Macaca fascicularis: one gene and its partners. The protein of the gene in region 1 interacts with the protein of each later gene in a biochemical or structural test. Links are inferred from orthologs where the notes say so. Each region holds a gene or a part of one and is shown in the gene's direction. Other genes may lie near its edges.

Region 1 (3,651 bases):
TTCTCTCAGGAAATGTGCCTGCATATGTATACAAAGGAGAAAATACTAGGATATATATTGCTGTCGTTTCACACTGCTCTGCCATTGTAATTGGTCAGGGGATACTCTGCCTCCCCTATGAGAAATTGACCAGCTGTCTCAATAAATGTTATATATTATTATGTATTGTTAGAAAAGCAGGCTGCTGAACAATATTGTTTCTAGTTTAAAAATGCAAAGGAAAACTACTGTTTCTGTAGACATACAGTATGTGTGTAAACTTTGTAAACAAAGTTTTAAAAGGATATACAGACAGTCCCCGATATTTTCGACTTAATGATGGTGTGAAAGTGATAGACATTCAGTATACCCCTCAGTTTATGATGGGACTACATCCCTACATCCAGATAAGTGTATCATAAATTGAAAGCATTGTAAGCTGAAAACACACTTTTGACTCGATTATGTTTACAATAGGATTATCTGGATGCAGCTGTGTTACAAATTGAGGAGCATCTGTACATCAGGATTTTATTGGTAACTGTGCCCAAAGGGGTTGGGATTGTGCAGGGTGCTCAAAGGGAACATTTCATTTTATCTGTGCCAAATTTTTTTACAAGAATGTATTACTAATTTGTATAGTTTAAAAAATAGATGTGTTTATCGTTGTGATTTGCCTAAATTGAAATAAAAAACAGCAACAAATAGCATTTAAACTTAATTTTCCTTCATGATTTGAATAGAAATTTTGAGTCACTTTTAGTAAGGAACTTCAGGCAGTCCTGAAAGTCAATTTTTTATTATTCATACAGAGGAGAGCCTTGCAGGTAAACAGATATTCACAGATGTATGTTAACATTTAACTTCTGATAGATTTAAATGTGAAAATTACATCAAGGCAAGATGTACACGGTATATAACCATCTGTTTTCTTATGTCATGCCCTTTTAAAACTTCTGAATAACTTTGGCAAGTTTCTTCTCAGTGTAGGACTTATTTCATTCAGTTATTTTCATTAATATATGATAGGTGCTGAAAAAACACTAGATGTGGTATTAATGCCAGACAGACTTGGTAATGGAATATGCCTAGTGAATTTGTGTTTTTTCATGATAATTAATGGGAAGCTGGAATTACCCAGGAGAGAAAAATTTCAAAATGAAGTAGGATTTGATAATAATGGGTTGTACATATTTCTTAATAGATATCTCAGGCCGTTGTAGTGGCTAACACCTGTAATCCAGCACTTTGGGAGGCAGAGGCGGGCAAATCATTTAAGCTCAGGAGTTCGAGGCCAGCCTGGACAACATGGTGAAACCTCACCTCTACAAAAAATACAAAATAGGCATAATGGTGCACACCTGTGGTCCCAGTTATTCATGGAGACTGAGGCAGGAGGATCGTTTGAACCTGGGAGGTAGAGGTTATAGTGAGCCGAGATCACGCCACTGTACTCCAGCCTGGTCTTGAACTCCTGGGCTCAAGCCGTCCACCCTCCTTAGCCTCCCAAAGTGCTGGGATTATAAGCATGAGCCACAGTGTAAATTGAAAAAAGCACAGTGGAAATTTCTTCTAAACTCAGTAAAATGTTAGGTCACTTTAGGGATGTCACTGGTTGGTAGGCATCCTGAAATAGGCCCCCAAAAATGTTTGAAGACTTGAAAATAGTGGTTCTTAAACTTGGTTGCACACTGAGGAAAGGAAGGGTTGGGGTGTTTAAAAATTATTGATGGTTTGATTCCACTCTCCACAATTCTTACTTGATTAATTAGGGGAAGGGATGGGCGTTGGTGTTTTTGTTTTTGTTTTCAGACAGAGTCTTGATCTGTCACCTAGGCTGGAGTGCAGTGATGAGATCTTGGCTCACTGCAACCTCCACCTCCCAGGTTTAAGCAGTTCTCCTGCCTCAGCCTCCCAGGTAGCTGGTACTACAGTCATGCAGCTCCATGCCTGGCTAATTTTTTTGTATTTTTAGTGGAGACGGGGTTTCACCATGATGGCCAGGCTGGCCTTGAACTCCTGACCTCAAGTGATCCGCCCACCTCGGCCTCCTGAAGTGCTGGGATTACAGCTGTGAGCCACTGGGCCTGGCTGGGCATTGGGATTTTCGATGTGCAGCTAAGATTGCATTACCAATGCCTTGAACCCAGTCCTTGTCATGTGTGGTTGTCATGGCTTGTTAGCAACAATTCTCTGGTACTTTGTTTTGGTATCTTATGTAAAGAGGTCTCTCCCAGTTACCCTTTCCCTTTCCTTTGTGACACTTAACACAGTGTACTTTTGGCTTGGTTACTTGTTTGTGGTCCTTCTTCCCTCTATGGTAGTGGGAATGAGCCATCTTGTTCACCACTGTATGTCCAGTTGCTAGCACGGGACTTGGTACATAGTAGTCACTCAGATGGCTGAGCAAATGATTTTCTCATAGGCATGGGCCACGGTGCCTGGCCAAAAACATGTTTTTAAAAAGTCAAACAGGGCTGAGGTGAGGTAGATTATGCATGTAATCCCAAGCCTTGGGAGGATGAGGCTGGAGGATCACTTGAACCCAGGAGTTCGAGAACACCTGTGCAACGTGGTGAAACCCCATCTCTACAGAGAAGTTTGTGAAAATTAGCCAGCCATGGTGGCGTGTCCCTGTGGTCCCCGCTACTGAGGTGGGAGGTGGGAAGATTCCCTGAGCCAAGAAGATCCAGGGTATAGTGAGCTGTGATCATACCACTGCACTCCAGCCTGGGTGACAAAATGAGACCCTGTCTCAAAAAAAAAAAAAATTGAATCTTTGAGTGCTGTATTGTAGTTAGAACTCTAAAGGTAAGGAAGTAGGTACCTGAATGTCCTGTTCCATTTTCATTGATTTTATGTGGCTGCTAACAATTAGTATTTACTTAGATGGCAATTTGATAGGTTTTTTAAAAACTCCTGGTATTGATGATAGGAATGCACATTTTTTTCCTAGGTAACAGGGTGAGATACCTAATGGATTATAATCATATCTCGCTTATTTTAATGGGATCATAAATGCCTGCAATTTTATCTTAGACTGAGTCTGCCCCTTAAGTTACATTAAGTGTAAGTAAACAAATCTTTGTTAATATTGTTTAATGCCAAATGTATTGCCTTATTTTTGTCTCCCATCTGTAGGCTAAAGAAATCCTGACAAAAGAATCCAACGTGCAAGAGGTTCGATGTCCAGTCACTGTCTGTGGAGATGTGCATGGGCAATTTCATGATCTCATGGAACTGTTTAGAATTGGTGGCAAATCACCAGATACAAATTACTTGTTTATGGGAGATTATGTTGACAGAGGATATTATTCAGTTGAAACAGTTACACTGCTTGTAGCTCTTAAGGTAATTTCAGTTTTATGTTGGGGGTTGTTGAAATGGGTAAGACAGTCCTCTTGAATATTTTTTTCCCAATTATTTTCTCTATCTGAATGTTAAATAAAACAAAATTCCACATTTGGGAATGCGTATGTTCAGGTTTCAGACTTACAAATCATAGGCGTCTGCATTCTGAGTAAGGGGATGGTACAGAATCAAAACAAAAGGAAAAAAAGAATGCGTCAGTCAAATTGTTTGAAAAAATAGGCTGGGTGTGATGGCTCACGCCTGTAATCCCAGCACTTTGGGACACTGAGGCAGGCAGATCACCTGAGGTCAGGAGTTCGA
Region 2 (3,751 bases), on another chromosome or scaffold:
TTGACTTTTCTAAGGTGTACACCATCAAGGGGCAGTTCCATCCCCAGGCCATTGGCTCATGAGACATTCTGAAGTCAGAAGGCTAGGGCAGATCGCTTTCAGCAAGCCCCCACGGTGGTTCTCACTCCTACTTCTTTGGATATATGCCCCTCTGTTTAAAAATAAAGTTAATATGGATAAAAAAAAAAAGAAAGAAAGAAAAAGGTCAGTTCCAGAAACTCAGTGTGAATAAAGCATTTTACTTGCTTTTTCTATTAATCTATAACATATGTTGGTTTTTAAAAAATAATGTAAGAACCATGCAAATTGGAGCTTCAAGACAACTTCCCATCTCCCTAGGAGGAGACGGCTGCCCTAAACCCCCATACATAGAAATCCGCCCACTGCCAGGGCTTAAATTTGACGTTGGGGAAATGAAAAATCCAAGCTAAGGCCGAAGCTTGGGGCCTGGGTGACCAGTAGAATGAGGACCACTGGTCAGTTTCAGGCTGAGATGCCTCTTCCAGGGGACAATCTCCAGCTGGCCCTTAAACATTCAGACTTCAAACTCTACTTACAGCATAAAGATGTTTCAAAAGACGTGATACAAATAACTGTGTGTGCAAATGTTCTGCGATGTGTTAAGCACTATTTCAATTTGGTCTAATTTAAGATTTCTTTTCTAGCGTCACGGTTACATACATCATAGATCCAAATACTTTTTTTTAAAGTACAGTTCTACTGTATTGTAACTGAGTTAGCTTGCTTTAAGTGAATTTGTTAAGGAAAGGATTCACCTTGGTCAGTAACAAAAAAGATGGGAAAAAAGCAAGGAGAAAGGAAGCAGCCTGGGGAAAAGCGACCTTAGCCAGGGGGGCGATTTCGGGACTCGGAGGGTCGGGGTGGGCGGACTGGGGAGCTGGCCACGTGGAAGGTCGCTCAGGACCTCTCCAGGAGAGGACACCGCCTCAGGCTGACTGAAAGGAAAGGGGCAGGGGACCCACTGGCGGAGTCACTGGCCTTGCCCCGACCCCGCAGGGCCCGAAGGAAGACACCCACCCCTCCAACGAGACAAAGGCTCCAGCTATGGGAGGCGGAGAGTGCGCGTGCGCCATGGAACGCGCGTGCGCGCTGCGGTCAGCGCCGCGGCCTGAGGCGTAGGGGGAGGGGCACCGGGAAAGGGCAGCGCCGAGAGGAACCAGCCGGGAGGCGCCGGACAGCCGAGCGGCAGGGCGCTCGCGCGCGCCCACTGGTGGCCGGAGGAGAAGGCTCCCGCGGAGGCCGGGCTGCCCGCCCCCTCCCCTGGGGAGGCTCGCGCTCCCGCTGCTCGCGCCTGCGCCGCCTGCCGGCCTCGGGAACGCGCCCTCTTCGCCGGCGCGCGCCCTCGCAGTCACCGCCACCCACCAGCTCCGGCACCAACAGCAGCGCCGCTGCCACCGCCCACCTTCTGCCGCCGCCACCACAGCCACCTTCTCCTCCTCCGCTGTCCTCTCCCGTCCTCGCCTCTGTCGACTATCAGGTAAGCGCCGCGGCTCCGAAATCTGCCTCGCCGTCCGCCCCTGTGCACCCCTGCGCCGCCGCCCCTCGCCCTCAGCCTCCACAGACTGGGGCTTCGTGCGCCGGGCATCGGTCGGGGCGACCGCAGGGCCCCTCCTTGCCTCCCCTGCTCGGGGGCTGGGGCCAGGGCGGCCTGGAAAGGGACGTGAGCAAGGGATGCACGCACGCCTGAGTGCGCGCGTGTGTGTGTGCTGGAGGGTCTTCACCCGCTTCGCGCCGACCCCAGGTGGAGGCCGTGCCGGCAGGGTGGGGCGCGGCGGCGGTGACTTGGGGGAGGGGGCTGCCCTTCACTCTCGACCGCAGTCTTTTGCCGCAATGGGCGTGCGTGGGGGGGAGGGGTCCGATAACGACCCCCGAAACCGAACCTGAAATCCGCTGTCCCTGCCGCTGTTCGCCATCAGCCCTAAGGAAGATGTGGATCGGGTTCTAGAAAAGATGACTGACTCCCTGCACGCCCCTCCCTTTACCTCCCGAGCAGTGATTCCGACAGGGCCTTCACTGCCCCTGATTTTAGGCGGGGGCCGGCCCCCTCCCCTTTTCCTCCTTCAGAAACCCGTAGGGGACATTTGGGGGCTGGGAGGAATCGAGGAGATGGGGAGGGGTCCAGGCGCTGTCACTTTAGTTGCCCTTCCCCCTGCGCACGCCTGGCACAGAGACGCGAGCAGCGCCGTGCCTGAGAACAGTGCGAGGATCCCAGTGTGCACGCTCGCAAAGGCAGGGGTCACCTGGCCTGGCGATGTGGACGGAGTCGGCGGCCGCCGGTCCCCGCTCGCGGGCAGGCACAGCAGCAGCCATGCACTGACGGGCGCGGGGCTGCAGGTGCATCTCGGGGCGGGTTTCTTTCTCAGCGCTCCGCGCGCAGGGTGCCCGGCGTGTGCGCTCCCTGCCGGAGGCGCGGGGCTGGCGCGCAGGGCTCGCCCCTCACTGCGGCAGTGGGTGTGGATCCTGGTGGGCGAGGAGGGGGGAGGATAGGCTGTGCCTCCTCCCACTCCCGAGGTGCCATCTTTTTTCGGCGTGTCACGTCTTTACGGTGCCATGCCAAACCGGGTGGCCGGGCTTCGTAGGACAGGGCGGGGCCTGGCATTAAAGGGAGGGGGACAATCAGCGCTGAAATCTTGGCGTTTTGCTGCTGCGGGCGTGAGCGCTGGGGGCGTTCACCCAGCACCTTCTTCGGGGGCTCTTTGCTTTGTCTGTAGAGGTTACGTGATCTGCGCTCCCAGCCCTGGTTTCTGGCTTTTATTCTGAGGGTGTTTAGCCAACCTCCCCCCACCCCCAAGCACCTCTTTCCTTTTTCGTTCCTCATTTCCGAGCCCATTGTTGGATCTCGAGGCTTGCTGGGGTCGACGAACCCGAGTCAACCCCCCGACCCCCGGCACGCATGGAACGGGCGTGACCGCGCGCAGCCTCGTCTCGGAGTCTGCGGGCGCCAGGAAGCTTCTGAAGGGATGGGATTCGAGTCTCCGTGCTGCGCTGCGGGCGGCGGCAGAGGGATCACGCCCCTCCCAACACCCCGAGTGTCCTGAGGGCCAAGCCACACCAGGTTGCCCAACGAGGGACGCTGGCTACCCATTCGGGGATGGGTGGGGAGCCCCGGTGGGGCCTCTCCAGCTTTACGCCCTGTTGCTTCGCCTGGCGGGAGAATGTGAGGAGGGGGCATAAGGTTACTGGTGCTGCGGCCACACCCATTTTTCTGAGCCCACTGGAGGGGGCACAGAGGGGGAATTGCCATGGGAACCACAGGCGTCCGGAGAGGGGACCTTGGGGCTGGCCCCACCCCTTCCCTGGGGAGATTGGGGACCCTGGGGTAGGCGGGGCCGCGCCCAGTTGGCCTCCTGGAGGACACGGGAGGAAGCCCCCAACCCCTGCACCTGAGACTCTAATTGGCCTCTGGCGGCCGCAGATAGGCAGCCCTTGGGTGTATTTTTATTAATATTATGTCTGTACTGATTAATATTATTTATCGTAAATGCGGGATTTCACCCGTATCCAAGTTCACCGTACCCCCAAAACCGAGTCTGGGGCTGCAAGGAGAACTCCTGGCCAAGGCATCCGAGCCTCGCCCTCCTGTGATGAACCTGGTACGCGCCGTTTTCTGGTTAATTCTATCGCTGAAAACTGGTGCGGGGGGGCGCACTTCTGAGACGAACGAGCATCTAGGAGCTGAATCCTCCACGCGGGCTGCCCAGGTTGATCTGAATTTCCGGGGAATGGCTTG
Region 3 (3,651 bases), on another chromosome or scaffold:
TCTTGATTTGCAACAGCTAATGACATATATTTGCTTGTCAAATATAGTCCTGACTTTAAATTAATGTGTACATTATGATCTGTGCAATGGGGCATGTTAACATTGCCCTGAGAGACATAATTTTTATACTTTGAATTCTCCGTGTCTCACTGCATAACTTAATGGAACATTACATTCTGCCTACACCTTTCAAGCTCAATGGAAATATGTACCTAGTTTCACAGATTAATGATACTATAATGGTATTTTCCTTTGCTTAATGGACTATACACTTAGTTATTTTCTTACTCTCTGATGCTAATGTGCACTTGGTGTTTTTTTTGTTTTGTTTTGTTTTGTTTGTTTGTTTTTTTGAGACGGAGTCTTGCTCTGTCGCCGAGACTGGAGTGCAGTGGCCGGATCTCAGCTCACTGCAAGCTCCGCCTCCCGGGTTTACGCCATTCTCCTGCCTCAGCCTCCCGAGTAGCTGGGACTACAGGGAGTAGTCCGCCACCTCGCCCGGCTATTTTTTTTTTTGTATTTTTTACTAGAGACGGGGTTTCACCGGGTTAGCCAGGATGGTCTCGATCTCCTGACCTCGTGATCCGCCCGTCTCGGCCTCCCAAAGTGCTGGGATTACAGGCTTGAGCCACCGCGCCCGGCCGTGCACTTGGTGTTTTATGAAATGGTGTTAACTAAACGAGTAATAACGGATTCATGCAAAGATTATTAGACCAGAAGGGGTGGGGGCAGCATACAACTCTGGATTTTGCTCCCAATTTTAATATTCTGTTTCTATTTGCTACATGTAGTCAGCCATACCTGCCACAGCTATTTCATAGGGTTCAGTTAAGGTTCAAATGGGAAATAAACATCAAAGTAATAAAAAATAAAAATGCTGTGTCACAACAAGAAGGAAACAATACAGATGTGGTGATTTTGTGATGCAAATGCAGGTTCCAAATTATCTGAAAGATGAAAATGGTATTTACTGGGGTATACAGAACATTTTAGGGAGTGGGAGATACTGACAATTGCAAAATGAAAACCTTTCCAAAGTGTATGTATTAGTCCATTTTCATGCTGCTGATAAAGATATAACCAAGATAGGGCAATTTACAAAAGAGATTTATAATGGACTTAACAGTTCCATGTGGCTGGGAAAGCCCACAATCATGGCAGAAGGCAAGGAGGAACAAGCCACGTCTTACATGGATGGCAGCAGGCAAAAAGAGAACTTGTGCAGGGAAACTCCCCCTTTTTAAAACCATCAGATCTCGTGAGACTTATTCACTATCACAAGAACACTGAAAGGACCTGCCCCCATGATTCAGTTTCCTCCCACCGGGTCCCTCCCACAACATGTGGGAATTCAAGATGAGATTTGAGTGGGGACATAGCCAAACCATATCAATGTATCAAATAAACAGATGACATTTGAGACCCTTGATGCACTCCCCAGAGGAAGGGACCCAGAAGCTTACAGGACCCTGGAAGGGCTGGGGCACAAAGTCCGGGAGTCTGCTGCTCTAGTTCGTGGAGTCATGATGAGCTGTAGCTGCTGCAAAATTGCCCACAGCACAAGGCAGGTGTACTCAGGTGCTCATCTAGAAGCTTCCACCAACTGCACATCTACTGTCTGCCATCAGGAAAGAGTGTTTCCCCTCCTCTAAGCACTTCTGGATCTTGTGCAAAGGCATCACAATAGCAGAGCCTGACTCAGACTCCTACAGGAAAGGGGATTCTGGGAAATGCAACTTGGATTCTCCTCATAAGCAGGAGAGGATGGATGGGAGGGAAGAGAAGATGCAACACTGATGACAGACAGGCCTGCACACTGGGCTTGGCAGATTATCAATTCCATCCTCCTTTTGGATTTAATGATGGCATGGTGTATTAATTTTCTTTTTAAACACACCACTCCTAAAGTGATTGTATTTTAAGTCCAGTGTGATTTTTTTAAAGAATGTCATTTTATTAAAGATCCATGAAATTTTTCTCTCTGCATTGGGTAAGATACCATGTGTTAATATCCAGTTAGGCTGGTTTCTGCTATAACATATTAAAAGTTCACCTGTGAGTCATTTACTGTTTATTAAGAGTGATGGGTTTTGTTTATCTTAATAACTGAAATACTATGAATATTACAGAGGCATGCTTCAGAGGGGTAAAAAGAGACTAAGAAGCTTAGAACAAACATTGTAGAAAGCATTCTTTGGATTTTTTTTTTTTTTTTTTTTTTTTTTTTTTTTGAGCAGCAAGAGAACATTTAGAATAACCAGAAGATCGTCTGCTCAAACACATTCAGAATTTTTTTTCGGTGTAGTAGGAAATATAATCAGAAAGGCTCTTGGCAGTGATGGACTGCACAATTTCTGGTTATGGTTGGCATTGTAGAATGTAGTTCGTGTTTGTGGGTTTTGAGTCATCCTAAGTTCAAATTCTGATTCTGGTACTTATTGTTAATATGTGCCATCAGGCAATAATAATAAAATAGCAGTTACTAAATATTGCATGCCAGGTCCTGTGCCTAGGACTTAACACGTATTCTCTCCTTTACTCCTTAAAATCACACACTGCAAGATGGAGACTATCGTTGTCCCTGTGGTATACATGAGAAAACTGGGGCTGAGTAATGACAAAGGACTTATCCCCACAAATGGAAATCATCTTCTGTGCTTGCCCTTGGCAAAATGCTTTCAGAATCAGAAAATGACAGACATAGTGTTAAATTAAAAATTATAAGAAGGTCAAAAGGAGAAGTCTAGGGTTGTGCTGTCCAATATGGTAGCTATGAGCCACATGCAGCTATTTAAATCATTTAACTTAATGAAAATTAAATAAATTTAAAGTTCAGTTCCTCAGTCTCACCAGCTGCAGCTAAAGTGCCCGGTAGCCATATGTAGCTTGTGGTTACCACATCGAGGAGAGCAGGACATTTCAATCATTGAAGAAAGTTCTTTTGGTCAGCACTGGTCTAGCGAATTCATTGTGTAGATTTTTATAAAAGTGAAAAAAAGCAGCAAAATACAAAGTTCAAATTCTCTGTAGTGTTTGAGCTGAAAACAGAAATGTGGGTAAATATGATGCTTCTTTCCCTGTTTGTGAGGGAAGGAGATGAGGAACACAGATGTTGGGGTTCTTGCCAAGCTTTCACTTAAAGAAAATGAACAGGGACAACAAATGATCATGTTTTTATAACCCCTGAGGACCACAGAACGGATTTAATGTGCATATGCAACATGGCTCATTGTTTTTGTTGTTGCTGTTTTGTTTCTGCAGGTATGCTATTGGTCTTGCTTATAAATCAGCCCCGAAGCATGAATGGATTGGGAAGAACTCTGCTTCCTGGGCGCTCTGCCGCTGCAACAATAACTGGGTGGTGAGACACAATAGCAAGGAAATCCCCATTGAGCCTGCTCCCCACCTCCGGCGCGTGGGCATCCTGCTGGACTATGATAACGGCTCTATCGCCTTTTATGATGCTTTGAACTCCATCCACCTCTACACCTTCGACGTCGCATTTGCGCAGCCTGTGTGCCCCACCTTCACCGTGTGGAACAAGTGTCTGACGATTATCACTGGGCTTCCTATCCCAGACCATTTGGACTGCACAGAGCAGCTGCCGTGAGCGTCTGGCCACATGGAGGAGCTTTCTGGGGAACAAAAAGG

Evidence for each region.
Region 2: of the proteins of PPP2CA (region 1) and MAPT, one has a biochemical effect on the other in vitro, tested with the Homo sapiens proteins (2 studies listed by BioGRID). The link is inferred for Macaca fascicularis from reciprocal best matches to the Homo sapiens genes PPP2CA and MAPT.
Region 3: of the proteins of PPP2CA (region 1) and MID1, one has a biochemical effect on the other in vitro, tested with the Homo sapiens proteins (2 studies listed by BioGRID). The link is inferred for Macaca fascicularis from reciprocal best matches to the Homo sapiens genes PPP2CA and MID1.

What each region holds. Positions count from the first base shown.
Region 1 is NC_088380.1:140,728,518-140,732,168, reverse strand, and holds part of PPP2CA (serine/threonine-protein phosphatase 2A catalytic subunit alpha isoform), read left to right. Parts: intron 1-3,120; coding exon 3,121-3,330; intron 3,331-3,651. UniProt on the Homo sapiens protein: Catalytic subunit of protein phosphatase 2A (PP2A), a serine/threonine phosphatase involved in the regulation of a wide variety of enzymes, signal transduction pathways, and cellular events.
Region 2 is NC_088390.1:67,473,643-67,477,393, forward strand, and holds the start of MAPT (microtubule-associated protein tau), read left to right. Parts: upstream 1-1,365; 5' UTR 1,366-1,498; exon of another isoform or gene 1,499-1,939; intron 1,940-2,185; exon of another isoform or gene 2,186-2,441; intron 2,442-2,951; exon of another isoform or gene 2,952-3,076; intron 3,077-3,751. UniProt on the Homo sapiens protein: Promotes microtubule assembly and stability, and might be involved in the establishment and maintenance of neuronal polarity.
Region 3 is NC_088395.1:10,135,918-10,139,568, reverse strand, and holds part of MID1 (E3 ubiquitin-protein ligase Midline-1), read left to right. Parts: intron 1-3,261; coding exon 3,262-3,610; 3' UTR 3,611-3,651. UniProt on the Homo sapiens protein: Has E3 ubiquitin ligase activity towards IGBP1, promoting its monoubiquitination, which results in deprotection of the catalytic subunit of protein phosphatase PP2A, and its subsequent degradation by polyubiquitination.